Drosophila melanogaster: one gene and its partners. The protein of the gene in region 2 interacts with the protein of the main gene of each other region in a pairwise test. Each region holds a gene or a part of one and is shown on either strand. Other genes may lie near its edges. The genes, in order: Cox10, alt and eEF1delta.

The links.
Region 1: the proteins of alt (region 2) and Cox10 interact in a two-hybrid assay, tested with the Drosophila melanogaster proteins (one large-scale study listed by BioGRID).
Region 3: the proteins of alt (region 2) and eEF1delta interact in a two-hybrid assay, tested with the Drosophila melanogaster proteins (one large-scale study listed by BioGRID).

Annotation. Positions count from the first base shown.
Region 1 is NT_033779.5:10,327,385-10,337,850, reverse strand, and holds Cox10 (cytochrome c oxidase assembly factor 10), read right to left. Parts: upstream 6,381-10,466; 5' UTR 6,242-6,380; coding exon 6,170-6,241; intron 6,105-6,169; coding exon 5,921-6,104; intron 5,864-5,920; coding exon 5,177-5,863; intron 5,113-5,176; coding exon 4,880-5,112; 3' UTR 4,722-4,879; downstream 1-4,721. Other genes in the region: GATAd, read right to left, coding at 255-483, 558-710, 779-906, 968-1,829, 1,927-2,070, 3,039-3,776; Schip1 (schwannomin interacting protein 1), read left to right, coding at 7,272-7,859, 7,920-8,376, 8,441-8,529, 8,589-8,655, 8,716-9,047, 9,111-9,379, 9,441-9,504; RnrL (ribonucleoside diphosphate reductase large subunit), read left to right, coding at 9,973-10,024, 10,076-10,164, 10,397-10,466.
Region 2 is NT_033777.3:17,675,435-17,686,726, forward strand, and holds the start of alt (aluminum tubes), read right to left. Parts: upstream 7,082-11,292; 5' UTR 7,023-7,081; exon of another isoform or gene 6,968-7,022; intron 6,810-6,967; exon of another isoform or gene 6,661-6,809; intron 4,443-6,660; exon of another isoform or gene 4,213-4,442; intron 3,854-4,212; exon of another isoform or gene 3,710-3,853; intron 3,270-3,709; exon of another isoform or gene 3,218-3,269; intron 2,745-3,217; 5' UTR 2,687-2,744; coding exon 1,403-2,686; intron 1,316-1,402; coding exon 653-1,315; intron 304-652; coding exon 208-303; intron 100-207; coding exon 1-99. Other genes in the region: CG7655 (uncharacterized protein), read left to right, coding at 7,355-7,681, 7,741-8,175; CG31251 (uncharacterized protein), read right to left, coding at 8,375-8,661, 8,721-9,253, 9,311-9,411; CG31360 (uncharacterized protein), read left to right, coding at 9,739-9,916, 9,979-10,097; CG31249 (uncharacterized protein), read right to left, coding at 10,572-10,927, 11,077-11,292.
Region 3 is NT_033779.5:10,227,399-10,238,319, reverse strand, and holds eEF1delta (eukaryotic translation elongation factor 1 delta), read right to left. Parts: upstream 5,814-10,921; 5' UTR 5,748-5,813; coding exon 5,661-5,747; intron 4,840-5,660; coding exon 4,759-4,839; intron 4,564-4,758; coding exon 3,961-4,563; 3' UTR 3,870-3,960; downstream 1-3,869. Other genes in the region: mthl15 (methuselah-like 15), read left to right, coding at 475-1,393, 1,773-1,945, 2,034-2,289, 2,515-2,593, 2,657-2,835, 2,906-3,292, 3,370-3,533; ova (ovaries absent), read left to right, coding at 8,370-8,615, 8,709-8,906, 8,974-9,135, 9,194-10,459. UniProt on the Drosophila melanogaster protein: EF-1-beta and EF-1-delta stimulate the exchange of GDP bound to EF-1-alpha to GTP.

The DNA of each region.
Region 1 (10,466 bases), on a different chromosome or scaffold from region 2:
ATTTTGGGTGGGTACGCGGTTAATATTCCGATTGCTAAATCAATAGCTTAATGAACATATTAACAGAAAAATAAATTGTTTTGGCAAGTTACATTTAATTACCAACAATAAAATGGTCAGGGAACATAAAAAAAAAACATTAAGTAAACAAATTGTTTTCATTGTTAGATACTCAAAAAATAAATAAATCTATGGGTCACAGAGGGCTAGCTTTCGAATCGAAAAATGTAGATAAATTTCGAACTCTCACTCACTCTTTTTAGATCGCTCCAATTCTTTAGGACGCCTGCGTCTGGTGTGTATGGTATCGCGTCTCATTGAATGCGGCCTGTTGACCCCATGCAGCTTGAAGTACAATCCGCAGGCGTTGCACACCATCTCTCCTCGAACACTTCGCCGCCAAATTGTTGTGGTGAGGGTGCCACAATTCGAACATGACATATCTTTTTGAGCACCAGGTATGGCATTAAAAAGGTTTATGTTCTACGAAATCGGAATTGAACCAAGAAATAATATAATTAGTATGTGATTCAATGAGGATGACTGTGATAACGTACCCTTTTATCTTTCTTATCATCCGGAGTTGCTTCTGAAGTGGTATAAGTATCAGTCACATTCTCATTAACTACATCGATGCAATCAGTTTTGGTAGGAAAACTTTGTTTTCTTCTACATGGTTTTGATTTGCTGGATTGAGCCTCTGATAGATCCTAAGAACACAAAGAGTATTAGACTTTCCTATAGCTACTTGCTACTTGAAATAGAAGAAATAGTTTACCTTTAATAGTGCTATGGGTTCTTCAGGTACTTTTGTAAATGATACTGTCGACGGAACCGGAAACGCGAAAGGCTGGCTCATCATATTTCGAAATATTTGTGATGCCGGATTGTCCTCCTTGCTTTTAGCTATCAAATTGAAATGTTTTTCATAATAATATGCGGTCAGTGGTCGGATAATAATACGTACCGGCTGATCTGGCCAGTGCCTGCCAGAGTTGAGTAGTTGCCGCATCTGTGGCGTGATCCGAGCTTAAGCTATCCGGAGTCTTTCTATCATTTATGGAGGACGTGATGTCCATCTCTAGTTTGTGAGAGTCGGAACTATCGCCAGAGTCTAGCAAGGAGCCGGTACTCGCCTTGGGTGCTTTTGATTTGAAGTCGGACCCACCAACTTGGTTAATGGTAATACTGTAGTTTTGAAAATCCTCTTCACTTCTTAAGTGTGACTGAATATCAAGCATTGGAGTTTGGCAAAAATGGTGTATTGGGGCCGCGTTCCGTTGATTAGAGTAATCGTTCTTTTGTTTTTTGACGGATAGGTCAATTTCAACACCGTCCTGAATTTCATTTTGGTTTGATGGACGTTTTGATTTTATCACAGAACTTTTAATACTTGTATCTACAGCTGCAGAAAAACACGGAGATTGCGGATTCGAACATGGAGGGGAAATTACTATTTTTTTGCTTATATCCATTAAAACGGCAGCCGTTTCAAGCTGCTGCTGCAGATTTTCATATTTCTCGATATCCGAGTCCTTTTGCAGTTTTGAATCAAACTGGCTGTGTGAGGATCCAGACATTGCTTTGCTCTTTTGATCGCTTTTCATAGTAATTGATTTGAATAAACTTGGATATAAGCTATGTGCTGGCATTTCTTGATTGCTAATCTCGATTTTCCGATCCAAGCCGGGTTGGATGCTGGAATCCAATTTACTGTGGTCGTACTTAACTTTAGAGAACGTGCTTAACTCCGTCAGAGCCTTTGCCGCTATAGCCTCCGATGAAGCCTTTAAAATTGCATCGAGCTTGGTTTCCAAATCATTTGGGTCCTGCAAAAAACATAGTTCGTGAGTAGTAATTCAAATGGTCATTTAATTTAATGGCGTATGACTAACTAAGTTCCTTCCAATCAATACTTATACTTACTGGTCTCAGATTTTTGGATATATTTAAAAATTCTTTCAAAGCTATTTGTGAATTGTGCGCCATGGTTCGAAATTTTTCGAAGGAATCCAATTTTTGTCTGCAGTCGCCACAAACCACGTTGGGTAATCCATCGTTGGGCAGTGCCTGAAAGAAATATGAATGTATCTTATACTGCAGTATCCACTTTTAATATTCAGTTGGCTAGCAATGAGAATGATGCAATGACTAAGGAGCAAGGCGGTAACAAAATCGATCGATGGGATTGATGACTGGTTATACTTGGAACTAAAAGAAGAACATTGGATGCTTTGATATTGTATAAATCAAGCTAAAACTATTTGTATTTTAATCAATTTTATCATTATACATGTATTAAAACTTTAGTATACAATTTATATCTCTGTAAATCTCATGAAACAAATTATTTTAATTGAAAAAAATTAAAAACAACCCTATAAAATGATAAAAAAAAAAAAAAATAACATATGTTCATCTACGGAAATAAACACTAAAGCTCATGAAATGCATTAAGAGCACAAATTATCAAATCAATAAATAAATAAATACATAATAACAAATGAAAGTACTCGAAGTATGTAAAAAAAACACATTGGGGCCATATAAGGTGTATGTACGTCGGTATATCCGCACTTAAACAATCGAAACGAATGTTATCTCTTTGGTGGATTAATGTATGTAGGTCTCTAACATACATCCATGCGTGCATATACACACACGTATGTACATAGCAATATTTACATTCGTGCGCTGGACACTGATGTACGAGTGTGGCGTGGTGTGCGTGGGCCTGGGCCAATGCCTTGCAATGGTTCATCGAAAAAATACCAAACAATTGATACCGATTGTTAATAGGCCATGGGATAAAAGCGGCCCAATCATTTCCTATTATTTTGACGTGTGGTGTCGTAATCACATAGATAACACACACCAGCGCACGGCAAGCACTCGCAAAAGTGCGCGTGTGTGCGGGCATTATCGTGTACATATACGCGATATATCCAACTCACACACAGGTAAGAGCATGCTTGTGTATGTGCGTAATTAATGTAAATTCGTTTCTTTGCAAATGTGTTGGATGGAAATCTGCTTACCTTAATAGAGAGACAGTTGAATATCTGAAATGTAAGATGTGGTGATGATGAATCATCCCGACCGTGCTCTTTGCCGTAGTTATCGGTTCCGCTTATATTTGTTGTATTCACACTTGTCTCTTCGCGTCCGCTCTGCTGATTATGATTATGCTGATGTTCCTCCTCCTCGCGCATTGGCTCCGATTTTGTTTGGGATTGGGATAGCGATGCGGAGGGGGATGGCGTCTCCCCGCTATATTCTATATGTTCGTGATCCGACGATGACTGACTTTTGAATACTGTTGATCTCTCGGCGATGTCCGACTCCAATTGGCATTGGCGTTCGCGCTCACTCGACTTTGCGTCCGCAGCAGAAGGCACACTTGGCGTGTAATGGATTTTAGTTTGGTTTTGGTGATGGTGAAGGGTTTGCGATTGGATCTGCTGGCTTGGAACGGGCACAGGCACGGAAACGGGTATGGGTATGGGCACGGGTACGGGTGTTCCCTGGTTGCGCCGTTCATTTTTGTTGGCTGATAGCGGGTTATCAACGATGCAACTGCACGGATTGGGGCTTAAAGCGCTGCAAAAGCAGTTGGCACGATTCGCGACGCCACGAAAATCGGCCGATATTCTGTCTGGGGCACTATTATTATGCGACGAATTATCGTAAATCTGTAGTACTGCAACATCGCACTCGTTAACCAATGTGAGGCACAATCGACAAACTTGACGAAACTTATGTGGTACATTATTCATAATTAGAAATTTATATTCGTTTTGCACTGTGTAAAGAAACTTTCATACGCCTCTCCTTTATCGCGATAAAAAAGATAACTGGTAAAATAAATTATAAAATGAATGTAAACACTATTCCTCAATTTTTCATTGTCACAATCCACGTTCAGCTCACTAAAAATAATTCACTCCAGTGGTTCGCCACAGATTTTTCGCTCATTTGATCTAGTTTCCCGTTCAAATTACCAAACGAGGGCTCCAGCGATAGTCGCGTTAGCTGCATGATTCATCTCGGCATCGCGATAAATCAGTGATTATGCTAATGTGCTTCTGTGATAAAACATCAAGGCTATTGCAACACAATACAAAATATTGTTCTTTTCATTTGTAAGACCAACGCATACAGCAGAGGAACCAGTGAAATATACTGAAATAGGGGCAACTTTTTGGTATTTCTGTTATCGATAACGTACAGCTATACTCATTTTTAGCTAGAAATTTTTGACTATTTATCTGACGGATTTTACTATTATTATTAAAATTATTTCAATTGCGGAATATAGTTCCTAAAATAGCTAGAATACTTATCCCTAGGAAATGCGCATGTCGTTTTTTAATCTTGGAAAAAAAACCCTCCAAAGGAATAAACTCTGGAATCTGAAGAAGAGATGCCTTACAATGCCTTAAATAATACGTTCGATTCGATTGCTACAATTTATCAAAATAAAATAGATTTAAATTCCTTATTTTCAACAACCGATGAAACAACGGGAAACGGGATTACTTCCACTAACAATTTTTACCGTTTCCGTGCTTTTTTTGAAACAAGTGCTCAAAGAACAATATAATAAGGTCATACTTAGAATCTTGCAATTTAAATTACTGTACGGCTTAAGATTCCATGCCAAATTGTATATTTTAAATTTATTTGTATTCAGCGCCGGATTGGTTACACCGCATATTTTTCAAGGATGTCGTGTCATTTATTAGGCGCAACATATATTTGCCGCACAGGGGTACGTGTTTCCTTAATATTAAATGACTGTTTTTACAAGTTGCAGAACACTAAGTATATTTAAATTTCACACGATACTTAACATTTTATCAAATTAATGTTAATATTTCTATCTGGGTCCTTCGGCTACGGCGACGGGCAGGACATTACCAAGACTGCTAGCAGAATGCTTTATCGCACTGTACGTGGACTCCTTTTTGTTCTCCTCACCGGCGGGTTTGCTGAAATACCATTCCTTCTTATTGGTCAGAAATAGCAGCATCAGGGCGGGCAGGTGTATCAGTGAAAATCGGAACAGCTTCCGCGAGCTCCCACTATCTGACTTTTCATGAAACTTGTACGCTGCAAGCAAACAGAACGTATTAGACATAACATATAGGATTCCATGGTTAATGAGTATATTTACCAAGGTAGGCGAAGTACGCGTTCAGAGGTAGTGTTTCCAAGGCAAACCAGTAGTTCGTGACGTCCAGTACGGGTGCCATGGCTGAAAGTCCGACAATAGCCACCGAATATCGCAGCGCAGTGCGGCGACAAAGACCCGGATTGGTAACGGCCATCATTCGGTAGCCGGCACGTGAATAATCCGGCCGGAGGTTCCACGACAGAGCGTTGAAGTGCGGGAACTGCCACGCGTACAGCACTCCGGCTAGGATCATGGCGCCGGCGTCCAGGGTGGCTGCACAACCAGCCCATCCCATCAGCGGAGGAATGGCGCCCACTATCGATCCCACCCAGGTATTGACTATGCTGATACGCTTCATCGGTGTGTATATCGTGGTGTAGAGGAACAGGTTACCCGCTCCCAGCGCCGCCGTCAATCCATTTACTCCGAAATACAGCATACTTAAGCCGGCAGTTGCCGACACCGCGGCGAAGGTAACTGCATGCAGTGGTGTCATTTGCCCCGTGACGAGCACCCGGTTCTTTGTCCTCGACATCTGCGAATCGAAAGGAACTTCGTGATACTGATTAATGGCATTCGCCGCAGCCGAAACGAGTCCTGTGCCCAGGGTGCACATCGCAAACGTTGTGGGATCGAAAGCAGCTGGCGCCATGGCATAGCCGCCCATCGTTGTAATGACCACCAGCGCTGCAACGAAAGACAACTATGGTCGATGCTTGGCCAATGTTTAACCATCTCGCTTACATGTCAGCCGGAACTTGGATAGCTTCTTGTACTGGCTAAGAGTTTTTCCGGGCATGGTGTACGGACTAGGCATCCAGGTAATTTGACTATCGGGTAAATGCTGGACCTTTCCCGCCTGGGATACTGGCGACGCTGTAGTGACACCTTTGTCATCTTGGGAAGCTATCGTTGCTGCAGTGGAGTACTGAAAATTATTGGAAAGTTATAGTTTGTTATAGTGGTTTGTTGCGTAATGGCCAAGAACCTCACCCGAATGAGCACCAAATCAACCGGCGTTCTTAGCTGGGATTGCACCCGCCGAATTCCTTTGAATAATATCATTATTATTCACTTATTAGTTAGGTCTACGGTTATTTCATTTTTCTAGTTGTGTTTGGATTTCTATTACTTTTATATACAATGTTATGGTTTTTTAAATCACATTGTGCTTAAGTGTTACCATATCTCAAAATGAGAAAAATACTGAGTGCAAAAAATTTAATCAGAGGTATTCATAAATTGTTGGGATTGGGATTTTTTAAGAACTTTGAAAAAAACATAGCAAAAAGTTTTAAGCCTATTCCTTAAATAATAATAATATAAGTTTACATTAAAAGAAAATTTTGTGCCATGGTAAAACTCAGAGACATTTTCAGTTTCGATTTTTAAGTTGTTTTCTCAGTTTTTGCATATAAAAAAATAATAAATAATTAATAAATTTTTTGTTCCTTAGTAAATTAAATTATTTGTAATAATATTTAGTATTGTTAACAACACTATATACCAAGATTTGCGCATGCGTCAAACGTGTAATTTGCTTTATATGTGTGGGAGTAATTTTTACATCTGAATGCAGGAAGGCCGAAGTCCTTGTAAGTCTTCATTGATTCAATAATTAACATTTTAAACAAACGGAATACATTTTAGTTGTTAACAGTCGAAACAATCGTTTAAATAAAGCAAATACAAGAAATTATAATTGCAAGTAACTTTGACTATCTTCAGATATTTCTGTTACAAAAATTTGCACCTACACCAACTTTTTTCGGCTTGATTCTTGTTTCTCGATTTTAAGAATATACAAAATGTCAGTTCATTCATGTGTTGTTAAGGACAATGTAACATCTAAACACATATGAAGTTAAATACCAAATTGACTCTTAAAGTAATTTATAAATACGATAATGAGTTGAACTAAAGAAAATAGTGGAGTGGAGATAGTGGTGTCCTTTAGCAAGTAAAAGGAAATAAGAAAAAAACCATTTTATTGCTTTTACTATGTTTTAATTATGTTATGTTATTAATACACTGTAGTTGTAATCAATATTTAAGTCATCTAAACTTTTTTATTTCTTCTAGACAACTTATTCCAATGCCCATGCCAAGAATGGATATCTATATAACAAAGGGCATCACCAACCCCAACTACCCAGGATTTCAAAAGTTCGCGCATACCCTTTCCGATGACTACATAGAGTACTCCGACATGGAGTGCAATGAAAGCGATCTAACCGACAGCGATAGAGAAGATGACCCAACGTTCCCAAGTAAGATGGCCAAGGAATCGGGCTCGGAAACCTTTAAGAATGGCCAAGATTCGATTTTAAGTAACTGCGACAATGGAAACACATATATATCAGAAGAGGAAAGCGTGAACCGATCGGAAAACATTCCGGATATTGTAAATGAAAACTATAGTGCAACGTCGGAAAACTCCAAGCGAGCTTTGCAAAAACCTGACCTTATCTACAATCTAAGCCAGAATTATACGACCAATCCTGAGTTTCCATCCTGGTCATGTACAATTAATTCGAAATACGAAGGGCAGTTGCAAGGCCAAAGTCCTATCGATATTGTTGGTGATTTTGGCGGAGAAGTGGAACGTGAATTCGAGCTACTTCTCACTGGATATAAAAACAAGAAGGAAGCGGATGAGTTGAAGGGATCAAATTTAGATAAGGTATGTAGTTAGTTAAAATAAAAGAGATCAGGCACGTAAAAGCATAATTGTACCTTGCAGATTTGCGATGCAGAACTATCAAATGGAACGGAGGCTCTTAAGCAAACATCCTCGACGCGATTGTCCGGGAATAGTACTCGAAAAAATAAAAAGAAGAACACACCGTACGGACATCAGATCGTGAAAACGAAGCATCCAAAGCCGTCTCATGACGAACGTCAATTGCCACCGGACACGTTCGACTACAAAACGTATAGCCAACGAAAATATATCATTTGTGATGCTGACCAATACTCGTCCGTTCCGGAAAAGAACAAAAACGATAGTCCGAACCTAAATCAGGCTGAAATACCCAACATGAGCAGCTTGGAAATCGGTGGAAGTGGAAGCCAGCAGAATCTGGACGAGGACAATAACAAGGTGGCTAGTCGGAAGTACTCAAATCAATCGCGCTGGTCTCAGTACTTGGAAGATCCCATCAAGTACTCCAAAGATCCATGCTCCACCATGGTTTTAGGTAATTTCAAATATGAATTAATCGTTATAGATTCTTGAGTATATTAATATTTAAATTTTTATAGAACAATTTGATGCGTACAAGATTGCAAACGATATGGATGTAGAAACATTGCAAAACCATTATAAAAAGGTTAAACAGATAGAGAAAAAGGTAGGTACAATATAATCGGAATAATAATATCATTTATTAAATATATATTCCAATTACAGCGGCGATTCAATCGAGATGAGATACGCAAGAGATTGGCAATCGGAGATAAAGATTCTTTAAATAATGGTAAGACCAAAGATATTCTTTCATTACTATATTTTCTTAAATATTATATTTTATATTTAGACATTAAGAAGGAGGAATTTCTAACCGGATCCGATAATGAAAGTTATAGCTCCGACTCTGAGACGTGTCCAAAACTATCAAGTGGAGTACTTCGCAAGCAATCTGAATTCTGTGAAACGAAACGCAATAAGGAATTTGAAAACGATAAAATCTTTCAAAAGAACCAAATCAACCAAGATAAAAGCATGAATCATATGAATGGCAATCCCATTGGTACAACAGATTATCCGTCGGATGAAAACTTGTTTTTCTTTGCGAATCAATCAAAACTTCAAATAGAGGTTAGAATAGCACTAGCTCAATCGAAGGAAATAGCTCAGATGAAAGTAAAGGTGTGTTTTCCACAGGATTTATTTATTTTTTATTCAAATGTAATTGTAATTATCTATTTGTAGGCAAGGAAACATGGCGTAACTCCCATTGTGGACGTAATTCGATCAATGCTGTGTGATGTTGGCATCAAAATGAACTCCAACCATCGATGGATTTCGAGGCAGCTGCTCACTGGAATCCAAGTTCCGACTCTCCAGCTATTGGTCAACAATCTCCAGGAATATATTGAAAACCTAAACGTCACACTACTGGAGAGCCTTAAGGAGCGAGACGATTTGAATTCGGACCAAGATGATATATTACACGATCTCGAAAAAATAAATAACTTTTTGTATGTATACAAATATTATCTTATTTTAACTGTGTGTATTAATGTTAATATTTCTTTCTAGTGTTTTCCAACAGCAATCTGGACAGCAAGTCAATAAAATAGTTAGACACGGCCATTTAGATTAAACACTTGAAATTGCATATTTTATTAACAACTTGTTTACAAATATTATAATCTCTTGTATAATTGATAACAATCTACCGAGACCGTTTATAAAACACATACTCAAATGTTCTTCAAACACTGTTATATTTATGTAATTATATAAAGCTAAATAAATAAAAAATACAACTAATTATTTATATTAACACTAAACTAAATTTGTTTTTATAAAACACCTGTGTATTGATACAAGCAGTTATTTATATATTTATTTGATTATCTAAAATGATATATTTTTTAAGAATATGATATAAATGTGAGTGGAACGGTTCGAAATAATTTTGTTTCTTGATCGTTTCAAAGTTAGGCGTTTTGAAAGTGCGGCATTTGATCAACATGTCGCACGGTAACACTAATAATGACTTTAATTTGGCGCCTTTTTGTGCTTGCAACAATCAATTTGCCGCCTCTTGTGAAATATAGCAGTCAAGATGTTGAAGAACAAGTCCATGAAAACCTCAAAGTTATATGTTATTAAGAGAGGTGGGTTACAATTCCTTGTCGCTATGACTGTTCTTAATATATTTATTTCAGATGGCAGGCAGGAGGAGGTGCACTTCGATAAAATAACCTCAAGAATCCAGAAGCTTTGCTACAACTTGAACATGGATTTTGTTGATCCTGTAAGTTTGTTTCTATTGTTTAAAGGTGCTCATCACACAGGTTGCACTCGAACCTAGTAAGTATGATGCGTATTTATATGTGATGGGGTTTGATTTTATCTGCAACAGAATGTGCGAGCGCCCCTGGTGAAACTCATGTGGGAGTCCCAAGATATACAAACCATTTGTAATAAGTTATCAGCAGATTATTTGGGAAGTTTTCCTGATGTGTTATTATGCTTTATCTTTATAGGTTACTATCACCCTGCAAGTCATCAATGGTCTGTACTGCGGCGTGACCACCCAGGAGCTGGACAACTTGG
Region 2 (11,292 bases):
CCGGATCCTCTGCTGCTCGCTCTTGGCTGAACTGGCACTACCCCCGCCATTGGCGGCCACTGCCTTCTGTTGCTGCAGCTGCAGCTCTTTGTGTTGTTGCTGCAAAGATTAATGCATACAATTAGTTTACAATGATTTAGACTCTACGAATTTTCAGATGGAATCATATAGGCAAGCAGAAGAAGCTGACAAAGATCATGCACTTACGCCTACGGACTGCGCTGAATTTGTTTTCGTCTTAGCTGTTAATGCTTCGGCATTTTGCAACGCTTCAATCAACTTCCAATTTTTCATACGCACGTCCTGACGAAACACGAATACGTGGCAATTAGTAAAGGATTCAGGAAAAGCAAGAAGGATGCAGATGCAACGGGCAGGACGAACGACGGCATAACGACTCAAATGCGACGCGATTACATATAGTTGGGCTCAAATTGGTTTGAAATCCTTTTCAATTCAATTATCCGCATTCATTATTAATCTTCATGCATAAGTCTTGACATATATATGTATCAATTTCAGTGATTACAAAGTAAAGTGCAATAAAGTTTAAAGTAGGTGGTATAAAATAGGGAATGTAATGGGAATGCAACACAAAAAGAAAAGTTTTTTAATATATATTTCTAGTTATAGAGTTCATCTCTATACTCACATTATTTTTCTCCCGCTGCTCCTGGAGCTCCTGTTGCAGATGTTGCTCCTTAGCCTGCAGCTGCTCGGCCCGCTGTTGAGCCTCCTGGAGCTGCGACTGCAGAGCGTTGGCTTGCTTCTGCTGCTGGGCGTGGGCATCCGTCAGCGAGCCGACCTGCGAGCGAAGAGCACTCAGCTCCTGCTGCTTCTGGGCCAGCGCTTCGGTCTGAACCTGGGCCTGCTCCGACTGGGCGGCGGTGGCCTGAACCGCGCTGTTGGCGGCTTGGGTGAGCTGTTGGCTGAGCGCAACGTTGCGAGCCTCTAGGACGGACAAGTTCTGTCGCAGCTCCTGCAACTCGGCGGCGTGGACGCGCTGCAGCTCCGACTGAGTCTGTTGAACAGCGCTCAGCTCCTGCTTGAGGTCGGCGTTCTCCGCCTCCAGCTGCTTGCGCTGCTCTAGCTCAAAGATGCTATTGTTCTGGCGCGCTTCCAGCTCTTCGCGTTGCAGCTCCAGGGCTTGCAGCTGCTGAGCCTGCTGCTGAATCACCTCGTTCTTCTGCTGGGTCTCTGCATTAACGAATGCGGTCATTTCCGCCAGGCACTTTTCCTTGTGTGCGAGATCCTGTTGCAAATGTTGCAACTGAACCAGATCCTGCGAATTGGCTTGCTTCTCCCTCCGAAGGGTCTAAAACAAAGAATTAATGATTTGTAACGAATTTGAATATAGGCTATGTTTGAAAATATTCTTATAAATCTCAGAAGCTTTTCTTACCGTAAGCTGTTGACGCTCAAGCGTCAACTTGTCATTCAGACTGGACAGCTCCTGGTTGAGGGCGGCTAGCTCCTGCTCCTTGCCTTGCAACTTATCGATATAAGCCTGGTTTCGGGCATGCATCTGGGCGCGTTCTGTGTTAACCTCTTGGCGTAGTTCGCGAAGCTTAGCCTGAATTCCGATGGAGGCCTCCTGCTCCTCGGCCAACAGCTTTTCCTTCTCTTCCAGCTGACGCTTGAGTTTCTGGCAGATGTCATCCGACCACTCAGAGTGCGAAGCGGGCATATCCTGTTGCTTGTTTAGCAGATAGTCGATGAGTATCTGAATCTCTGAGCGATTTAGCTCGGCACGAGAAAATACGTTCATCAGAGCGTTGACACCAATGGTCTGGTTCTGGTGATCGGCCAGTTTATCCAAAGCATGAGCCAAATCCTTACCCGTTAGGGTTTCCTTTTGATTCTGTTTCTTGTTTTGCTGCTGCTGCTTGGTTTTGTTGTTGGCCTGGTTGTGTTGCGTTTTGGGTGAGCCATTCTGCTGCTGCTGCTGTTGCTTGAGGATCTGCTTGGTCACTACGGGTGCCTCTGTTTCGACAGCTACGACCTTCTCCTTCTTGGACACATTGCCTCCGGCGATCTTTTTCTGACTTTGCTGCTTGTTGTTGTTGTCTTCTTTGCGTTCCTTTTGCTCTTGCTTCTTCAGCTCCACCACATCCTTGGGGATCTTGGTTTCAAAATTATTCAAAGTTGGTGTCTCCTCGGCGTTAGCTGCAGGCTTAACAGCAACAGTTTCGTTCTTGTTGACCAGGATTCCGGCTGTCTTGTTGTTGGCTCCGTTACGTTTATCCTTCTTTCCCTTTTTGCCAGCCCCAGAAGGTTGGTTCTCCTTCTCAGCCACGCTACTGGGTCGTCGCTGATCAGTGAGGACCTCTGCATCGGGTTCAAATTCAACATGCTGCTTGGAGAGACCGGGTTCCTCGCCAGCCACGGAGCCCTGACCCTCCGACTGACCATCGGAGTAGTCTTCGGCTTCCTCTGGTTCCGGCTCGTTGTTCACATCCCTCTGCTGTTCCCGCTGACGTTGCTTCTTTTCGCGCTTAAGTTCCTTCTTCTTGGGCTTCTTGGTAGCGGCACCACCGGCCGCCTTGTAGAGATTGGCGCTCAGGGCACGCTTCTCGGCTACCACCTCCTCAAAAGTCTTGCGCCGGAAGATCTTGTTGATGAACAGGAACGAGAGCAGCGAGGCGCTGACCACACAACCGATGACGATCAGTATGTGGAAGTCCATATTTGCATATCTTTCCGGTTTAGCCGTGGATTTTTCTCAGGGATCTCCTTTGCGAATGCTGTTGAATAAATAGAGAGTTTCTCGTTACTATTTTGTATTTTAGCAATATTAGAAGGTAAATATTTCTAGGTATTTACATTTGCAGGTGTAAATACATATGAAAAAATTAAACAATAATGTTCGATTTCATCTAAAAGGGGAAGCCCGGAATTACGGCCACGTTTTCTCCGTTTGGTTTCCAAGGAAAGCAACCAACAAAGCAAAAAATAATCTCAAGTGTGGAAATGTTAGAAATGCTTTTTAGGGTCACTCGTGTATATATTTTTGCTATCAAACTCATTTCGTAGCATTATCAGCTTTTTTCAGCTTGAGAACCACTACAATGTAGTATAAACTGATGACGTGGGGGTCAAAAATCGAAAAACGCCGAAGAAATGCCCACTAAAAACGACAGATCAACGACACTACATTCAATGGCAATTACGCTTTATATAGCCGGATTGTTTGAGTTGAACGTGCTTATCGGTTTACCGGCCGGAAAATGGTTCAGAGCGCAACAACACAAGTTCTCCTTTTGTATGAACACGTTGTTATTGCTGCAGTTGACTGGGCTTGCTGGACGTTATATTAATAAAAACGCTGTGCGGTTGATAATTTCATTGTTGTTGTTGCTCTGCTGAGATAAAAAAAATGCACTGCTGAATGGCTCAATATTCCTGGTATTCCGGATTATACAGCTCAACTCGCCAATAAATCCCCATGAATTTCAAATTTAGGCAAAAAGGTCATTTGAATTTCATTTGGCGCAGGAAGGGCGATAAGAAATCTCAGCTGGAATTATCGATTCCTCAAAGAACTCAGCGATTAAGACGGAAAAATGTATTCCGGGCAGAAGTGGGGAGCCGACAAAGTCACAAAGAATAAAATTAGCTTATGAAACAGCAGCTGCTGGGCAGCCTTGAACGAAAGTTGGTAGACATTTCCAGCACCCAAAGGTGTTGACGCAGATTGAAAGGAACTCACATAACAATCCGAAAAAAGAATAACAATTTAAAATAACTCAAAGTCTAGATTCTGACGCACACGTATGCAAATTTGCCAATTCGCAAAAAAAATCAACACTGTTTAATCTATTTTCGTTAAACTCCACGAGTCTCTTCCAATGGACACGATGCGAATGCCAAAGGCTAGTGAAAAGATTCGCAGCAGAGCTGGGCTCGCAATTCGAGATCTCTCCTCAGCTCTCTACACTTGAAGCAATTCCCAAGATCGACTAAATATTTATTTTTGAATAGGTTATTTTCTGGATGTTTTCTGTAAGTGCAAGTTACGTTTTATGAGAGCAAGATTTTATTGAAGAATCAGCAAACAAATTTGCAATAAGTCTTGAGTTTAAAATATGCGATAACATTACTTGTATCATCAAAATAAAATACGTTTATATATTTACTCCGCCCAGTTATCTTTGAAACTTTAAAATAATATATATTTGTAGTTTGTACATTTTTGAAATAAAAAATACTAACATTACTAACAGAACGTTTTATTCTCAGTGTGCTTGCGCTCCGTGGCACTTTTCTCTCTTCGCTCCCACCACAGTTAGAACAAAACTTGAAATTTCGCTGACTCCGCGAGCTCAGTGGAAGAATTCACAAATTGCAAAAATTTCAATTCAAGGTTGTTGCTCTCTGCGGCTGCGATAACTGGCAGGTCGGGTATTTATTTTCCTCTGTTGGCTTGTCAAGTTCTGGCTTCTTATTTCTGCTGCTTTGCTGGCTCGCGTCATGTTTCTGGCTAAAAGATACTGACTGTGTTTCTGTTTCTTCTTATCCACAATCAACAAACATTTCTAAGGGGCTTTCAAAAATACTGGGTTACGTGATACTGGGTAGATGAATAATCCGTATACAGCAAATCTTTCCAGGTTTACTCTATCTACATATAACTAACTCTTGATTTCATTTATTAACAAATGTAACCATTTTTAGTGTTTCCAACTGTTGTATTGCGACCATTGTGACAATTTAGATGGTTCATAGCATCTTCACTACAATTTATGAAAGTTTTTACAACTCCAATTGTCTATTATCTAGTCCTATGAAACCGACATTCATTATTACGGATGGGTGGACTGACCACAAAGTTAAATTAATATTTAATGGCACAATGGAAACGGGTTTCCGTCAAACAAATCGATGGCGTTTAACGGAAAGTAAGTAAAGTCCGGGCTGCGGATTCCGATTCCGTGAGTATAGAGGCGGGGGAGGAAGAAGCAGCAGAAGCGGTGGCGGCAGAAGAGAGCCAAAGCCAAAAGAGAATAAAAAGCACAATAAAAACGCCGGTAAAGGTCATCAACCGGAAGAAAAGCGCCCATGTGTGCGTGAGTGTGACTGGCCAGTGTTTTTGTGTGAGTTTTTGTATAAACGAGTGTGTGAAAGTCGAAATCTTGCTGCCAATTATCATTATGACCATCTATAAATAATTATGTATTATGGTCGAACAGCATGCAAAACACGCTGGCTGCTCGGCCTCGTTACAGCCAACTGACAAACTGGCAAACTGACATCGAACTGCACAGTTGGCCTAATTTTCCCGTTTTTCTTTCTATCTTTCTGTGCCGTTGCTTCCCTCCCTCCCCCTTTCTTTTGCGGCGCCCCAGTGTTCAATTAGCTGCCTGCTCACACACACACTCGCACTTGCTGGCACATGGAATTTCTCCCCTGTTGGTGAGCCCCGGCCAGAAATGCCAAGTTGACCATTTTCTGGCCTTTGAAGGCAGCGTGTTTGAAGTGGGTCAAGTATTCGCCAATGCGATTACATCTCTTCAAATGGAAATAAAAAAGTTATTGATCCTCGTAACTGTGTATAATTATTAAAGTCCTTATGCGAATTATAAATGTCTAGATTTGTTTCTAAAAAAAAATTGTTTTTCATAATCAACTTACATATCCTAATAACTTCTTAAAACTGAAAACTTCCAATCTATCTAAAATTTAACCGGGTTCTCCATTTTATATTATTTTTGTTCTTTCATAAAAAAATAATTTGAAATTATACTTTTACTAGCTTGCTTTCGCAGCAGCATCACTGATAACGGTGCAAGTGCTTTCCTCGCTCTCTCTGTCACCGCTGAGCGAGAGCGTACTCGCACTCATTCATTATTTTTCATCTATTTATTCATAAATGCATTTTTTGCCCCTGCTATTTTCAGCGGCTCAAGAGTTTTAATTTTAGAAAGCACTGCTCCCTACTTTTCGTCTTTTTCTCCCGTAATATTTATGCAACATGCAATGCTGCTTTATTTATCTCTGTGGGAAAGAAAGCGTGGCATGTTTTTTGCGGTGTGTGGTGTCTTCTTGTTATTCCTGCGTGGGAGCGTCAGGTTCCAAGTTCGTTTCCCTAATTTTTTCTTTTGGTCCACAGATGGAAGGTTGGTCTAAAATGTGGAGTGACTCATAAAGGCTATAAATAGGCAAATTGATATTGTCTAAAGCTGGCGGTTAATGATTATTGATTGCTGACGTAGACGTCGATAGCATTTGTTGATTGTCAATTGGTTTTCCCCGATGACGAACGATTTTTGAGTCTATGATTTATTGGACTGCAGCTGCTCTGCTCCGCTCTCTCTTTTGAGCTCTGCTCCGCTCTCGCTCCTTTGATAAGCCCGCATATGCTTATGTGTGTGTGTGTGGTGAGGTCAGCGCATCAATTATGCTCATTTCTTGTCTTTTTCTTTGATAAAATCAGCGAACAACAAATGGGAAAGGGCGGGGGCAGGGCCCCGGCCAGACGGCGGCGCCCGAGATTTTTGGCAAATCAAAGCAGTCAGCTGTCCCCTTTGCTCATAATTAAGCAATGGGGAGCAGTGAAAGTGTGTCGACTACTAATTGGCACCTTGAATAATTGCACACCGATAAATAAAGTAGTGGCTTCCTTTTTCCTCTCAAGACAAAAGGGCGTCGCACTGCACTTACACACATACATGTACACCGCTCTCCCCTTCTTATCTCCAGTCTCTATACTTCTAACGCTGATTTTCAGCCGATTTTAAGCCACTTGCAACGTCAACAATTTTCACAACATTTCACATTTACAATGCAGTCTTTCTTTTCCTTCTTCTTTTCTTTTTGTTGGAAACGCATCCGCCATTTGCAAGCCACTTGTGTATGTGTGCCGGAGCGCTGCGCCTGTTTGAGTGTGTGTGTGTGTTGGGTTGTCGCGTCGACAGTTTTTTCATCACTTTGCTTGGATTTAGATACGCTTTATCAAACCAGTTCTTACTTGCAACTGTTAAACTTTTTCTCAACTTTCTTATGCCTTTCGGCTGCGGACTTACACTTTTTCGTTAGTGGGAAAATTGAAACATTTGCAAACAGAGTGACCGTGGCGACATACTCCAAAAATCGCGCCAGTCACATAATAGTCCTAAATTTGGACAACTAGCGATGACTCAAGCCGCCGGATAAATGCGCTATGTTTTTGTAGCCGAGACACGCTACGTGGGGAGAGCGATGTTTTTATCGTGGACACAAACCAAATTGAAATTCTTCACCGAAGATTTTATCGCGACTGTGCCATGGTCGCACTGATTAGCTCACCGAAACGTTCATTGAATTTGTTTTGATTATCTCGAAATAACAAGCTATTTTCTCAATTTTCCTGACAAAAATGACATCGATTGCCAAGTCCATAGTACTATTGGCATCCCTGGCCACGTTCGCTTACTCCCTGTACGTGGTTGGCAGCCTGATGATGTTCCTTTCGACGCCTCGTTCGATTTCCAAGGCGCACACCTGGATTTTCAATTTACTGGACAACAAGTCGCGCCTGCAGACCGCCTATGGACCCGTGGTGTTCGATACCCTCTACCTGATCGGATTCATCTTCCAGCACAGCTTCCTCAAGTCAGCCGTGGTCAAGAAGCTGTTGGCCAAGTTGGGATTGTCGGGTGCGGAGCGCACTATTTATAGCCTGACGTCATCGCTTTGTTTACATGTTTGTATACCCACAAATTGGACAGAAATAGCTCCCAACTGCAACTTTGGACATTTCAGTATTTGATCGTCAACTGGCTGCCCGCTCAGTCGATTGTTCTGTGGCAAATCGATGTGGAGCAGAGTGCTCCGCTTTGGTGGACCTTCGTGATCACCCATGGCATCTGCTGGGTTGTCATCTTTGGCGGCAGTTTGGTGATGGATCTGCCAGAGCTGCTGGGCGTCAAGCAAGCCTACTACGATCTGAAGGCCTACGGACCGCCCATCAGCTACAAATCCGGGGAATTGCGCAATCTGTACGCCCATGTCAGACATCCCTCGTTTGTGGGCCTGTCGGTCATCCTGTTCGCCACGAATGTGATGAGCGTGGATCGGCTAGTCATGGCCTTGCTGCTGACCACCTACATGTACCTGGCCTGGTCCACAGATCAGAAGGATGTGGCCTATCAGAAGATTCAACTGCAGCGCAAGAAACTCGAACTGAAGGCCAAGTAAACTTAATCTCAAAAGTGTTCTTACTAAGATCTAGTTGTAAGTTGACATGAGTTTGTATTGAATAATACTTTTCTAACAATTTCAGTTTCCGAATCAGAACGAAACAAATAATGAAAAAACTAAAAGATATATAAAAATATATATGGTTCAGTTTTTACTATTTTACTACTATTGCTAGCTTAATTAATTATTTTAAAATTTAACTCATTCTTACGATAGAAGGATCAAAGGGCTGTCCTTTAAACGGCGAACCTTCGGCATCCCAGGCAGCTTTCAGGCGATCCAGGTTTATAGCTTGGTCGGGACTTGAGGTCTGAATTTCATTTTGTTGCTTGTCTGCTGCCAACTGCTGGACCCTAAGCTTTTCTATGGTGGCCTGGGTTTCCTCCGGCAAATCATCTATATAGCGTTCGCATTCAATCTTCTTGGAATCGATTTCTGGATCACCTTCGAAGAGCCGATCCCACCAGAGCTCCTTTGCTTTATCTACAGTTATATACAGTTTATGAAAATGGTTTATAAAGATGTTTTAGGTGAATGCCCACCGTAACTTATGATCAATCGGTTCTGATCAATTGTCCACACCGCCTCCTTGTGTTTAATCCGCTGGCTCAGGTTTCCCTCGAGGATGATCGTCTCTGGGCTATGCTTGCTGCTCACTTTGATGTGCTGGGCCTGAATTGAAATGTGCAGCTTCTTCGCCGTTTGATGATCCTTGGGAAGCAGAGCCTGCACCTCCACATCCTTGAGGGTTTGTGACCAGCAGTGCGTTTCGAACACATCTCCGTTTTTGTAGTCGCTGGGGGAGAACTTTGACTGCTCCTTCCCTTTTTGTGGCGGCTGGCTCTCTATGGGTTTCATTTCCTCGTCCTGAGGACCATCTTCGCTTTCCAGGACCACTTCTTCGACGGCAGGCGGAGCCGTTTCTCCATCATCTGCACCGCCTTCCGCGGTCAGGGATTGTAGCAAGCAATCCGGATCGTAGCGCTGCATGGCGCCATATAGAATCTGATCCCTCACGCCTTTGGGGAAGCCTATTTTATCCGCTTCATCGCGTTTTGTGTGATAAAAGTCGGTGCTAAAAAGGGAAGTGGGACTACAGTTTTGTTAAGGATCTTGAGATAAAATCTTTTACTTGCGTCGCAGAAATCCGAAAATGGAGTCCAGGAAACCTGTAATAGTTTTCCGATCCTGCAGAATTTCCATGAGCATAGCATCGTTTCGCTGAAAGTCCATTTTTGTAAGAATAGTAACCGGCCGCTTTTAACTTAACATCTAATGTTCACGTCTATCGATAACAATGCATTTAAATCGGCGATAGCTATTAAAAAGATAGATACATATTAAAGATTTTAGAGTGTGGTCAACATATATAATATTAATAGGAATCTAGTTCTATTAGAAAATAAGGTCAATAAAGCATTTGTTGATCGAATTAACAAAAAACCTAGTTTAGTTAACACAATCAAGTTGGCAGCCCTGCGACAAACTTGGTATATCGATAGTTGTCGCCTTATTTTCCAAATCCATTCCCAAATTGTTATTATTGAAATAATTTTAAAAATGATCGGTAGACTTTCTTTTTGGAACAAGGACAACGTTTCCAACGAGGTGGACTGCTTGGCCTGCCGTCTGGTCAGTGGCCTTGGACTCCTGGGAATTGGTGCCTTCCTATTGGCACAGTCGAAAAAAAGACAAGCGAAACCTCTGGAGAATTTCACTATGAAAGGCTTGGCTGCAGGTGAGCCACTTGGGATCTTAAATCCGGTCTTATGTTTACTCCTTTCTCCTTCGTCGCCATAGCCGTTGGAGTTCTGGGCGTGGCCCGCCTGGCAGACGCGAATTTCCTGAAGGCAACCGCCGAGAAGCCAAAAGAACAGGAAAATACTAGCACTGATCATCAGTTCTTTTCTAGACGTTAATTCAATGACGTTTTAATTATAATCGTAGAGTCACTTAATATATAAAGGTTAATGTTTTCTTTTGTACGACCATGTGGCATTACAATAATATAGCTGTAACCTTGTTTTTAGAATTTTTTCTATTTAAAATCGTTGAAAACAAAACCTTGTTTGCTTTAATGAATTTATGATTTATTTTAAATAAATTAATTACATAGGCATACACAATATTGCATCTTTTGAAAGAGGATCATAAATAAACATATGTTTGTATTAATAATAATATTATAAAATATCAACAGGATTCTTATTTTATAGCTTTCAAAAAAGGTGTTTGCTTGTTCATAGCTTGGCTGTTGATCTATCTATTGATTTCTGCTAAATGTTGTTGCTTGGCTTTAAAGGATATTTTATAGATGCAATTTTAAAACTTTTATGTTCTTTATGTCCTTTTATGTTATATTGTGTCGATTGCGTTCCTTTACTGTTAATCGTCTAGAATCCCACTTTCCCCAGCTTGGTATCAGTCTTTGGATTGGCCGTGATGTTCTGCACCGCCACAATGGTCTCATTGATGTGTGTCTGCAGCTCGCGTAGGCTCTGGATCTGGAGAAGACGTAGTATGCGCATGGGCAGGTCCAGGGCAGAGTCGTTGGACGAGACGACGTCGTTTCCCTTGTCAAAAGGGAAGGGTTTACCCACTACCGGCTTGCGATCCTTGGCGGCGGGCGAGAGGCGTTCGTGCACCACGCGAGCGATAGCCTCCAGCTGCAACAGATGGTTCGGGTGGTGCGGCACATTCAGTTTGCTGGCCAGCAGCCGGACTCCATCCACGAACGCTTTTTCCTGAGCTGGTGGGAAGAAAGAATTAATACTTGTTGTACTTTACCTGATTATCATCTATAGATAATAAAAGTGGTTTTTGGAACCTCTTAAAAAATCCATAATATATAAATTTAAAGTTCCTTAAATGGTAAATTTAGTTAAAATCAGACCATACTATTAATATTTCCATCGAAAATAGCCTGGACCCTTTGTTGGGACTGCTTGCCATTGCTTTGGGGTGGCACCTGTTTGGTGTTAATCGAGGCAAACTGATCAGGATCATCGAGGAAGTCCAGGCGCACAGCATAGCTGACAATCCAGGCCAGCTGCTCCTGCCGCGTCTCCAGGGGCGGCATGCTCAAATCGGCACAGTACTTTAAGTAACCCTCCT
Region 3 (10,921 bases), on a different chromosome or scaffold from region 2:
GCAGTCGCATTTGTCTTGCCGTCAGAAGCTAGTGTACAAAGTCATCAATTGAATTGTGTAGATAGATAGATATGTGTTAGAACCACAAAGTACCTACATAAATATGCGGCCATTTGGGTGTATTGATACCATCCGTGAGCACCCCCAGCATGCTAAGTGTTAGGCACTCCATGGGGCATAACTTATTTGTATAGGCTTACGAGAATCCATAAATGTATTGCCTATATACGTCGAGCTATGTCCGTCTGTGTGCGGGCCAAATGTTTACCCATAAACATTCGCATTTGCTCGCGAAGGAATCGCGAAGACTTCAGTTCAGTTCGTTAAATCCGGCAACTGCATGCGGTTCGAAGTGTATATGGTCCGATAACGATTCCTCAATGATAAGATATGAAAAGTCCGTTCTAAGAAAAGATACAAACATTACACAAGCTCGCAAATCGGTCATTGGGTATAATAGACGAGCCGTAAACAATGAACATCGGACTAAGTTTAGTGTGCCTGATTTTAAGTGGCATTTCAAAAGTGCTCGCCGTTCAGTTATGCTGTGCCGCGAATTCGTTACTATTCAAATATCGCCGCACTGTGGACAATGCGGAAATATACCAGTGCGCTTCCGCCGCAAGCAACATCAGTGAACTTCCGGATCTTGCCCAAGTGATAGGCAAATTGATACCACCAATGGGCCTTGGATTAGAAAAGGCTATCAATGACTCAGGCCACAGCCAATTCGCACTATCAAAGTGCCAGAACTTTAGCAGTCTGAGTATAAGTGATTTAGGTGAACGCACCTTGAATTTGCGAAATAACTCATGCATTGGACTATTAAACAGACGTCTCATCGTTTTATCTTGTGAATTCGAAAAGAATGTGCCGTCTCAAAGTGTTGGATTTGTAAACAAGTGCTGCCCACAGGGATTTATTTACGTTTCCGAAAATAATACATGCAAACCGGGCGAAAGCGATTTCTTTGTTTATACTTCCATCATCAGCAGTCCAATTATATTTTTTGATAACACCCTAAACTGTTCCGACCACAGAGCACTCGTGGAATATACGTTGTCCTCCGGAAAAGTGCACTTTCATAATAATTCGTTGATTTGGAAAGATGGAACCAACAGTTTGCCCAGCTCCAAGTTTTGCATCGAAGCTATTCACGACTCCGACGATGCGGATTTGGATAGAGGTGCATTACCGGAACAGAAGTTTCTGGTGCGTGCTTGTCAGGAAATGAAAATTTGCCAAAAAATACCCTGTATTCGTCGTTGTTGTGCCGAAGGTGAAATGTATGCAAAAGGAAATTTCAGTACCTATTGCAAGATCGATGGAACCGATTTCAAATTTGAGGGTTTTCAGAACCTAAATATCAACGCAAACTTCTCAAAGCCCTCAGGTATGTCGTCACCAGTTTTGCAGTTATTTTTATAGGTCTTTATAGCAGGAAACGAGCGGCAATTGAACGCAGTAATCGCCCATTAAAGTCGTAAACTTAATGATCAAAAATATTATTAAGAATTGGAAGCAATCGATTTTGATGTTTTCCATTTGTCTGATCAAATAAGTGGTATAAACAATTGGTTTCAAGTGCCAAGCAAATTTCGCTATTGAAGTTATCTACGTCATTCATTAGTATTGACATTTTTCATTAGCTTTGTCATTTTAATTATTTTTGTCAAATTTTCTTATCTGGTTAATCAACAAGTGAATGACACATTTGCCTTTTCATTGACATAGGTCAGATTGTATAGTGTATTGTATTCAATACTTTTCAGATTTCGGTATTGTTCACGGCTTGCAGTGCCCAAAGTTTCGCTTGGATCCTGATAATTTTCCAGACGATTCGCATACGATAAATCCGTCCAATGGCTCGCTTATCATTCATAACACATTCAAAACCTATACGAATACTCAGTACTGCGTGGAACGGGTCAGACCCAATCAAAAGGTAAACTCCTTCCTATTTAAATCGACATATTTTATACAGTAGTGTCTTGTATAATCCTAATTATTTGCCTTCGTTCCTTTCAGAGCAGCTGTATACATTTTTGTGCTTTGATAATAAGGTGGTGACCGGCGACAGGATTCGCTTCAAGATGTATCCCATTGGCCTGCTCATATCCTGCTGCTTCTATGCACTCACACTGATTGTCTACATTTCAATTGCCAAATTGAGAAACCTGCCCGGCAAAATCCTAATTTGCCTCGTTAGCAGCTTGTTTGCGGCATATCTTGGAATCGCGCTGGGCCAATTGCGACCCACATCGAATGACGACATCTGTTTTCTTTCTGGTGGGTATTGCAGCCATTAGGTAATTAGTTGCTAATCCTGCTGGGACGAGGAGACCTACAAGTTATTATACCATAAAAGCGGGAAATCGATAGCAATCACTTTTATTATTACATTCATAGTTATACTCGTCAAGTACTTAATTGTTTAAGGGTATTTTGTCTCATTCTCTTGTGCAATTTGGTAACTAAAACCTAAACAAACTGTTTCTGTTTTGTATCTTGAAGGTTTTTTCGTGTACTTCTGTTTAATGGCTGCCTTTTCTTGGATGAACATTACTTCCTTTGACATATGGAAAACATTTGGGTAAGTACAAATGCTTTTGAAATTTAGATAAACTTGCAATAATTTACACTTATTTAATTGTAGATCAACAAAGCTTAAAAGCTGCGAAAAGAGCGACCTGAGAAGGCAGTTTATTTGGTATTCGTGTTATGGCTGGGGGCTACCAACATTGCTAACTGGAATAACCATAGCTTTTACGAAATCTGACATTTTACCGGATGCGGTGCGTCCAAATTTTGGACATGGTCGTTGCTGGTTTACGTGTAAGTTAAAAATCTAATTAAATTACGATTTAAATATTAAAGTATTTGTATATTTTTGTATTAATTCCAGATGATTCTTTTGGTTCAGCCAGCTTATTGTTCTTTTCGGGTCCAGTTGGCATACTTTTCATTATAAACTTAGTTCTATTCGTGCTCACAATGAAGTATTGCAACAAAGTAAAAAATGAAATATACAAAATGCAGAGCTTGAACAGCGACAAGCCAGTTTTGAAAAGGCGATTCTTTCAGGACAAAACCAGATTCGTTATGAACACGAAACTGTGTTTCGTAATGGGCATCACATGGCTGTTGGAAATAGTTAGCATTTTGTTTTATGATCACAAGAAAACGTTCTTTTGGACCATCAGCGATTCGTTTAATGTGCTACTTGGAATCTTTGTCTTCATTATATTTGTGTTTAAGCGCAGAATTTATAACGAAATTATGTTTAAGTTTGGTAAGTTTCAGTGGCATCAATTAACTGGCAGTTAGTTGAATATACTACATGTAATTTGTATTTATTTAATCTTTAAGGTCTGCAATCAAATCCGAGCACTGCATCGACTAGAACCCGCGCTGGCGTGACCAAATCCTATGCTCCAACCAGCACCGCGATGACCACTCTTCGACATTCTCCTGGCAGCTGTGAGTTTAAGCGCCAAACGTCGACGAGACCCGAAAACGAAGTTATGCTTTAGGATGGTTAAATAACTTATGATTAACTATTTATAATTTGTAGAGCCTTATGAAACTAGTCCCTCAGTTTAATCATTATTAATATGTGCATAATTTAGCTGTGACCTGGAATATTTATTTAATAGGTAATTTGCATTGTTTTTATACTCGTGCGTAAATGAATTTAATTAATCAAAGAATGGCGAATACATGACTTAAACTAATATATATCTTCTTTTCTTATAAATTTTGAAATAATATGGCCTTTTAGCGAATTCAAAACATATCGTTTGCATAAAAAATATCCTAAAGTAAACTATTTACCAATTACTCCCAGTTTAAATGCAGTTTTTTAAGTTGGTTTTTATCAAAATATTTATTTAGACGACTCCCAAACACATTTGTAATGCGGCAAATCCGATCGTGAATTGAAAAATTATATGTTACCCCTTAGATTTTGTTGAACGCAGCGATGTCAACACTTTGGACAAAGTCTTCCAGTTTCTCGATCTCCTCAGTCAGCCAATCGATGGAAACCTTATCATCCTCAACCACGCATGAAATGCTCAGTTTCTGAATGCCAAAGGCAACTGGCACGAATTTGGAAGCTCCCCACAGTAGACCGTCCTGGGTGATTTTGCGGATTTCCGTCTCCATAACCTTCAGATCGGTCTCATCGTCCCACGGCTTAACATCCAGAATGATGTTCGACTTGGCAATAATTTGAACTTTCTTGGCCTTCTTGGCAGCATAGGCTGCCAGCCTTTCCTCCCTTATGCGGGCGGCCTCTCCATCCTCCTCCTCGCTGTCCGATCCAAATAGATCCACATCGTCATCGTCGTCGTTCGCTTCTGGTTTTTTCGCTTCGACCTCGGGCTCTTTCGACACTCCATTCGTCAATTTCAGCTGAGTTTCCAAGCGCTTCACTGTGGCAGTCAAAAGTTCGTTCAACAAGGAAACCTGGGTCTTCAACTCCTTGTGTTCACCCTCCAATTGGGCCAGACGCTTGGCCAGCTCGGAATTTAAGCCATCGTCCAGAGTAACGCCATCGATCTGGAACACACACAAAAGGCTTGATTAATAATTCAAATTCAAGTCCTCATTGGGATATGTTGATCATAAGTACAGACTAAATATATTGTAAATAATAATTATACAATTCTCTACAAAGTTTTAAAGAAACCGAAAGAAACCTAGGAATGTGAACAAATCAAATGTTGAAATACAAAGATTTATCACAATAGTTACCTTTTCCAGCGAGTTCTGTATGTGTTCCCTAGCCTTTGCGATTTCGCTTACTAATGGGCTGTAGTGGCTGCGATCAGTTACCTTTAAAAATAAGACAACACCATTGATTACTTGTGTGAACTGACATTTGGTGTATCGAATGGTTGACAAAGGATTCTAGGGATAATAATTTTTAAGCAAAATGAGATGTTTTATGTACGGGCATCTACTTCAAGTCTGTTGTCATGCAAGCATGCTGAAATACTGATAAGCCTCACTCTAATCAGCCCAAAAATTGTACGTAGTTTAAATATTATACAATGCAGTGCTATGCATTTTGTGTAGTATATTTGTGTAGATAGAATACAACGTGTTTAAACCTTTACTTAACTATAGTATTTCCCTGAATTTCAATAGGTTTTAACTTTGTATACATCGATTTGTTTTTGGCACATTTCCATTGAATAAACGAATTTTGTTGTGTAGGTGTCATGTTAAGTACTTATGTTTTGCATACTATATTTTGTATTTATACCAATTGCCAAACGGAAAGTGTATTCAAAATTTGGCTTGCCAGAGTTAGTTTTCTCTCACACTCTGTTTTGTATACACTTTACGCACATAGTTATATTTTTTAAAAGTGTTAAACGTTCACCTGTTACATACAGCTACAAGAATATACCAATGTAATGTGCAATATGAACACAGCAATTGAAAATCAAAGGCAGATAAATATAGAAATCTTTTAATAGATCATTCTACGTATGTATTGAAGTTTAGAACATGTGTGTTTCGGCGTCCTTGCTGTTAAAACAAACAGATTTGCAATAAACATTGCCGAAACCATTTGAACTGATTTACCGGCCACGTGAAACTGGCTAACAACTTAAGTACTTATGGCTGTGATTGCTTAGAGATTTTACCTTCTGGGGACCCTCGTAGAATCGCTTCTCGGCAAGATCGTAGCGGCTCTTGTCAGCCCAGAATTTGTCCAATGCCTCTACTTTCATTTTTAGTCTTTCGCCCGCAGATTTACTCAAACACGTTGCACAATTGGCTGAACAATACGATAACACGTTTGAAAGGGAATGCAGGTATATCGATATCTACGCCATCGGATTCGTTTTTTATTGCTACTGAAACGATGGAAATGAAACACGACATTTTTATTTCAACCAAATTTTTAACACGTTCTCATTCTCATACGAACTGCTTTTTGATGTGCGAGTAAATAAACAAATTTATTGCAATTTTTACAAAACGTCCATAAATTGAAACACTTATTAGTGCCCGGAAAGAAATAAAAAAAAAGTTTGATCTCAACGTAGCAAAATGTAAGTTCCACGTGGCACCTCATCGATGTTTGACGAACTTTTGCACAGGCCTGCGGATCAACATGTGTGTATACTTGTCATCAGTTGATTTATTGCTTGTGATGGGTTGCAACGAAATGTTCACCACAATTGTCGTCGTTGCGTGAAGAGGTTTGATGAAAGAGGGATACAGAGGGATACTTTTTTTATATATTATCTTCCACTTAACTATTTAATGCTTCTTCTTCTCTTTAACAAAATTTTTATATCACGGACCTCGTCCTTGTGTGCTACTAAAAAGCTAGAAAAAGATACCATAATAAAAAAAATGTTTTAAAGTTTTTTAAAGGTATACAACTCTCCTTTACTTTGTATAAGAGATTAACAGATGTTTGCGTCAGCTGTGTTTGATGGAATCGAATTAATTCGATGTCGATTTTACACAAAAATTCCAGTACATGTATTTTATTTACAGTAAAAAACTTTTTTAAGAGCAAAGTAAAAGTGCAACATCACATTTTGTTCCATTTCCGCGTTTCAATTTGAAGACTGGGTAGTATTTGTCACAATTATTTCAGCCATTTAGCAGTCAGTTCTCACTTCGACTATTCGATAGCAACTACAACAAATGGTTTTTTTACGAAGAAAGTGTTGTGTACTGTAACTATGTTATCATATTTGTGATTGTAGATCTCGGTGTCTACCGTTTTGTTAATCATTGCGAATTCTTGGTGCGTACTGATGGTGATTCTATTTTGATCGGTTTTTGAGACTCCTTTCTAATGGATTCACTCAGTGATATGTATATGCAGAGAGCACTGAGCATTCCAGAGCACTGAGTTTAATGTATTGCCATACAAAATCGGTGTCGAAATGTTCGTTATCAACCAGTTTAACGTATAAGTGTGTACTATTCAAATTATATTTCAAATGATGCTGAACATAGTAATTTTCGTTGAGTGTATTACATACACTCGTCTAAATCAGGTGGGATATTTATACCACAGCATAATTGTGATGACTCCATTTAACATATGAATATTTGTGTTTATGTATAATTATCTAGAAGTGCTTGTGTGAGTGTGTTTACGTATAAAAATGTCCCAAGTTATGCAGTAAAAATTTTATTTGCAAACTTATTCCACTTCCCTTGGAATACATATGTGTGTTTTTCGTGTGTGTGTGCGTGTGTGTGCATGTACACATATGAGAGCAATTCGTGGTTTTTCAGTAAGGAAATCTGCAGTTAGACGCAAGGTTTATGAGCTGCCCCTTTTGCAAAAGTGAAACGCTGGTCGTGGCTCGCCACAAGAATATATAACTCGTATAAACTGCATAGTTAGCATTCGCGAAGCGATATCGCACAAACCTGTAAGTGGGAACATTCCACTTCATGTCAATTTCATGAAATCGCTAGGCGTAACCACTAGCTTTGGTTCTAAACCAAAGTGGCAACGCCTTTGGCAAAACAAGTATTTTATAAAAAAAAAAGTTTAATCATATTGCTGTACTTTATTGGTACAATGTGTATACGATATATAGTACCTAATAAAGGTACATTTCAAGGATTGTAATTTTGCAAAAAAAAATCATCGATACCTTTATCGATTGTCCCCACGGACTTGACAGTCTGTATCTTCGCCATTTTGTGGTTATCACTCGCCATTTTTTAATGTGACCGTTCATAAAATGGTCCTGCAAAAAAGTAATGTTTGCGGTCACTAAACTAGAGATTTCTAGAACAAAAAGGACGTAAACAGTTATGTATTCTAGACCTTGATCCCTAGGTGTCACAATGTACGTGGCAATTCAATTCCAGGGTAGCTTTAATAGTACCTGAGGGCTTTACGATTATACGAACAAATACGGACTTACAGTCAGTTATGGCTGTATCGACATGGCTAGTAATCCGGATCAAGGCTGTAAAGACTTGTTAGTTTCATATTTTTACGAGTAACTGGCCTTCATCAGGACGGACAGGCAGATGATCATTATATACTTTTCAAGGACTATAGAACAACTATTACACGGTACCTAATTGAGTTTACTCATCACCCTCAGTATTCTCTATTGATCTCGACGTTCATGAGGACGGACAGACATACGGACACAGCTAGATCCATATACTGCGCCCCTTACTTATCACAACTGCTAATAAATATTTGAAATCGTTTGTTTGGTTTGGTTTTAGGAAAGTTTAGTAGTTTTAAATTTTTAAGTAGATATGTTATACATATGTAATCGTTTTAATCGGTTATCTTGGAAAACTATCGATAACATGGCAATAAAATATAACATTTTAATTCACTTGCAGTGACAATGGATGAAAAAGATAAAGCTCAACACAACATGATATCCAACCTACCACTTTTGTTTGCGAACGGATATCCAACATCCCTAGAAAAAATTACGGAGTCCCAGTTAGAAAATTTTATTCCCTTCATGGTGCAATGCTCTTTAGGACACATAAACTTACCAAAGAAAATAGATTGCAGTGAACCAGAATGGTGGCCCGAAAGCGCTCCTTTCGAGATTCCGCTCAAAAAGCCGAAAGCATTTGTTGGGGTAAGCTTTTTTCCCTTACCTTTTGATTTCTATGGCTTATATTTAACATTCACCCCCATAAATGGCTAATATATACCTGTATCTATTTTACAGAATTGGATGGAAAAAATGAAAGAAATTGTGGTTATATGCTATCAATTTCACAAAAGCTTATTTCTATTAAGATTTTGTAATGATTTAGCTGCGTATGAACACGCGAGCTTAAGATTCATAAACAATTATAACTCAACAACTTCATTGTATGACAGGAGAAACAACAAACTGTTGGTTACATTTCGAAATGAAAACATGGTAAGCCAAGCCTACTTTGAATAATTGGGTTTTAAAATTAGTTAATTCTGAATTGGTTATTTTGCAGTCATATGATAGACAACAAAAGAACAGAAAGTGCTTGTTGCTGCAAAAGAACAACAGTTCCATTAGCGAAAACGTACAGCATATGATGGTTGAGCCACCACCTTTTGATATCTACCTATGTGACAACTGTGATGCCGAACTTTATTCTAAAGAAGCTATACTCGTAAGTTGATTGCCAAAGATTGTCAAAGTTAATAGTTAATAACTCTATTGCATAACAGGAACACGAAAACATTTGTTGCATGGAGGATGACGTTATACTTTGTGATTCCCCTGAGCCAGATAACAAAAGTGATGGGAAAAACGAAGATATCGAACAGCGCAACGCCTTTCTCTTAAACTTTAAACTGCAACCCAAATTCTCCGATAATAGTTTATCTAAAGAGAAACAGAAAACATATTCATTCAGCGAAGAAACATCAACGGAAACATCAAACAGAAAGAGGCGTTTACCATCGCGGAGAAATCGAACAGTTCATTCGTTTAGTAGGTGTTCGTTTATCCCAATATCATCACCTGCAGGACAGCAATTGTTAAAATCGACAAAACAAACAATATCAATGGATTATATTGCGGAAAGACAGGAACGCCTGGAACGCTTTTGTTACACTCCATTGATCAATAAATCAAATACCAAGCAAAAGTATTTTGAAAAAAAAACAAACACTACAGTGCATTGTACATTTAAAAAGTCACATGAACACAATTATCACATATATTCCTTTCCGCGGCGTCAATTTGTTAAACGCAGGGACACTACTGAGAACTTTTTGTTTTTGAACTCTCCGCTGATTAAACAATGCCGTCCAATATCAGTCAGATTGAAAAAAATATCCGAACACGTAATGGAAGAGCAAAATCACACTGCAAATACAAAACTCAATATAAGACTAACGCGCCACAATTCGCTCAACTCACACTGGAGAATTTCACCCACAAAGGAAGTTGTTGTTGATACAATTGACTTATGCTCCTCGGACGACGATGAGCAACAAGAGCCAGCAATAGGCTCGCCCAAAAGACTTGGCTCGGATGCACTGACTGTAATAAAACTTACACATAACAACAGAAATTTGTACAGTAGCCGCGTCGTCGAGCCAAGTAAATGTGCTCCAGAGCCAGAATCAGTAATAGTTGATAATTCGGTTAAGCCCCTACAGCAATCTTTATATATTTATTCAAACTATAAGGCTAATTCAGTAATTAGTCGCTGTACCGTAGACTCGATAGCCAATCATTCACTGGTTGGTTCCCTGAGTACATCGAATACTTTTGCTGATTCTGAGGGACACAGAAAGGAATACAATCAGGAAAACTGCAATTTTTCTAAGAACTTGGTCGCACTCACAGACTGGTACGCTCATTCGGCTAATTCGAAAAAAAGCACTACAAATCAGACTACTGAGAGTAGTACGTTTGATGCGATTTCCGCGGCTCCGCCTTTCAATGGCACTGGGCGTATAATTTCCATTGATTTAACTTCTTAGACATTTTAATCCATAGTTAAGTTAAGAAATTGTTATTTTACAAGAAAACCTAAACTAAGAATTACCATATATGAATAAATAATTTGTTTAAATACTTTTATATATAATGTCTAAATTCATTTTCTCTGCGTTTTAAAGAAAAGACATACTGTAGAGGAACCCTACTGTTTTGGGATCTCTATTACCACGTATAGATGGTAATCAGCATATTTTCCATCCGTTTTCTTCATAGTTCGAAGCGTTAATCGATGATCTGGTTGTTTGAAAGCATCGACATAAAGTACACGTAAATAGTACATGACCTTCAAAAGCTTATTTTTTTTGGTTATGAGTCACATCATAATTTTATTACGTCATTAAAGAAAGAGAGGGGACGTCAGGGTTAATACAAAGTAGCATTAATCCCATGATTGATACTTGAACCAGTCTTTTCGGTATGTACCTCAACCCAACGTGGGCTTG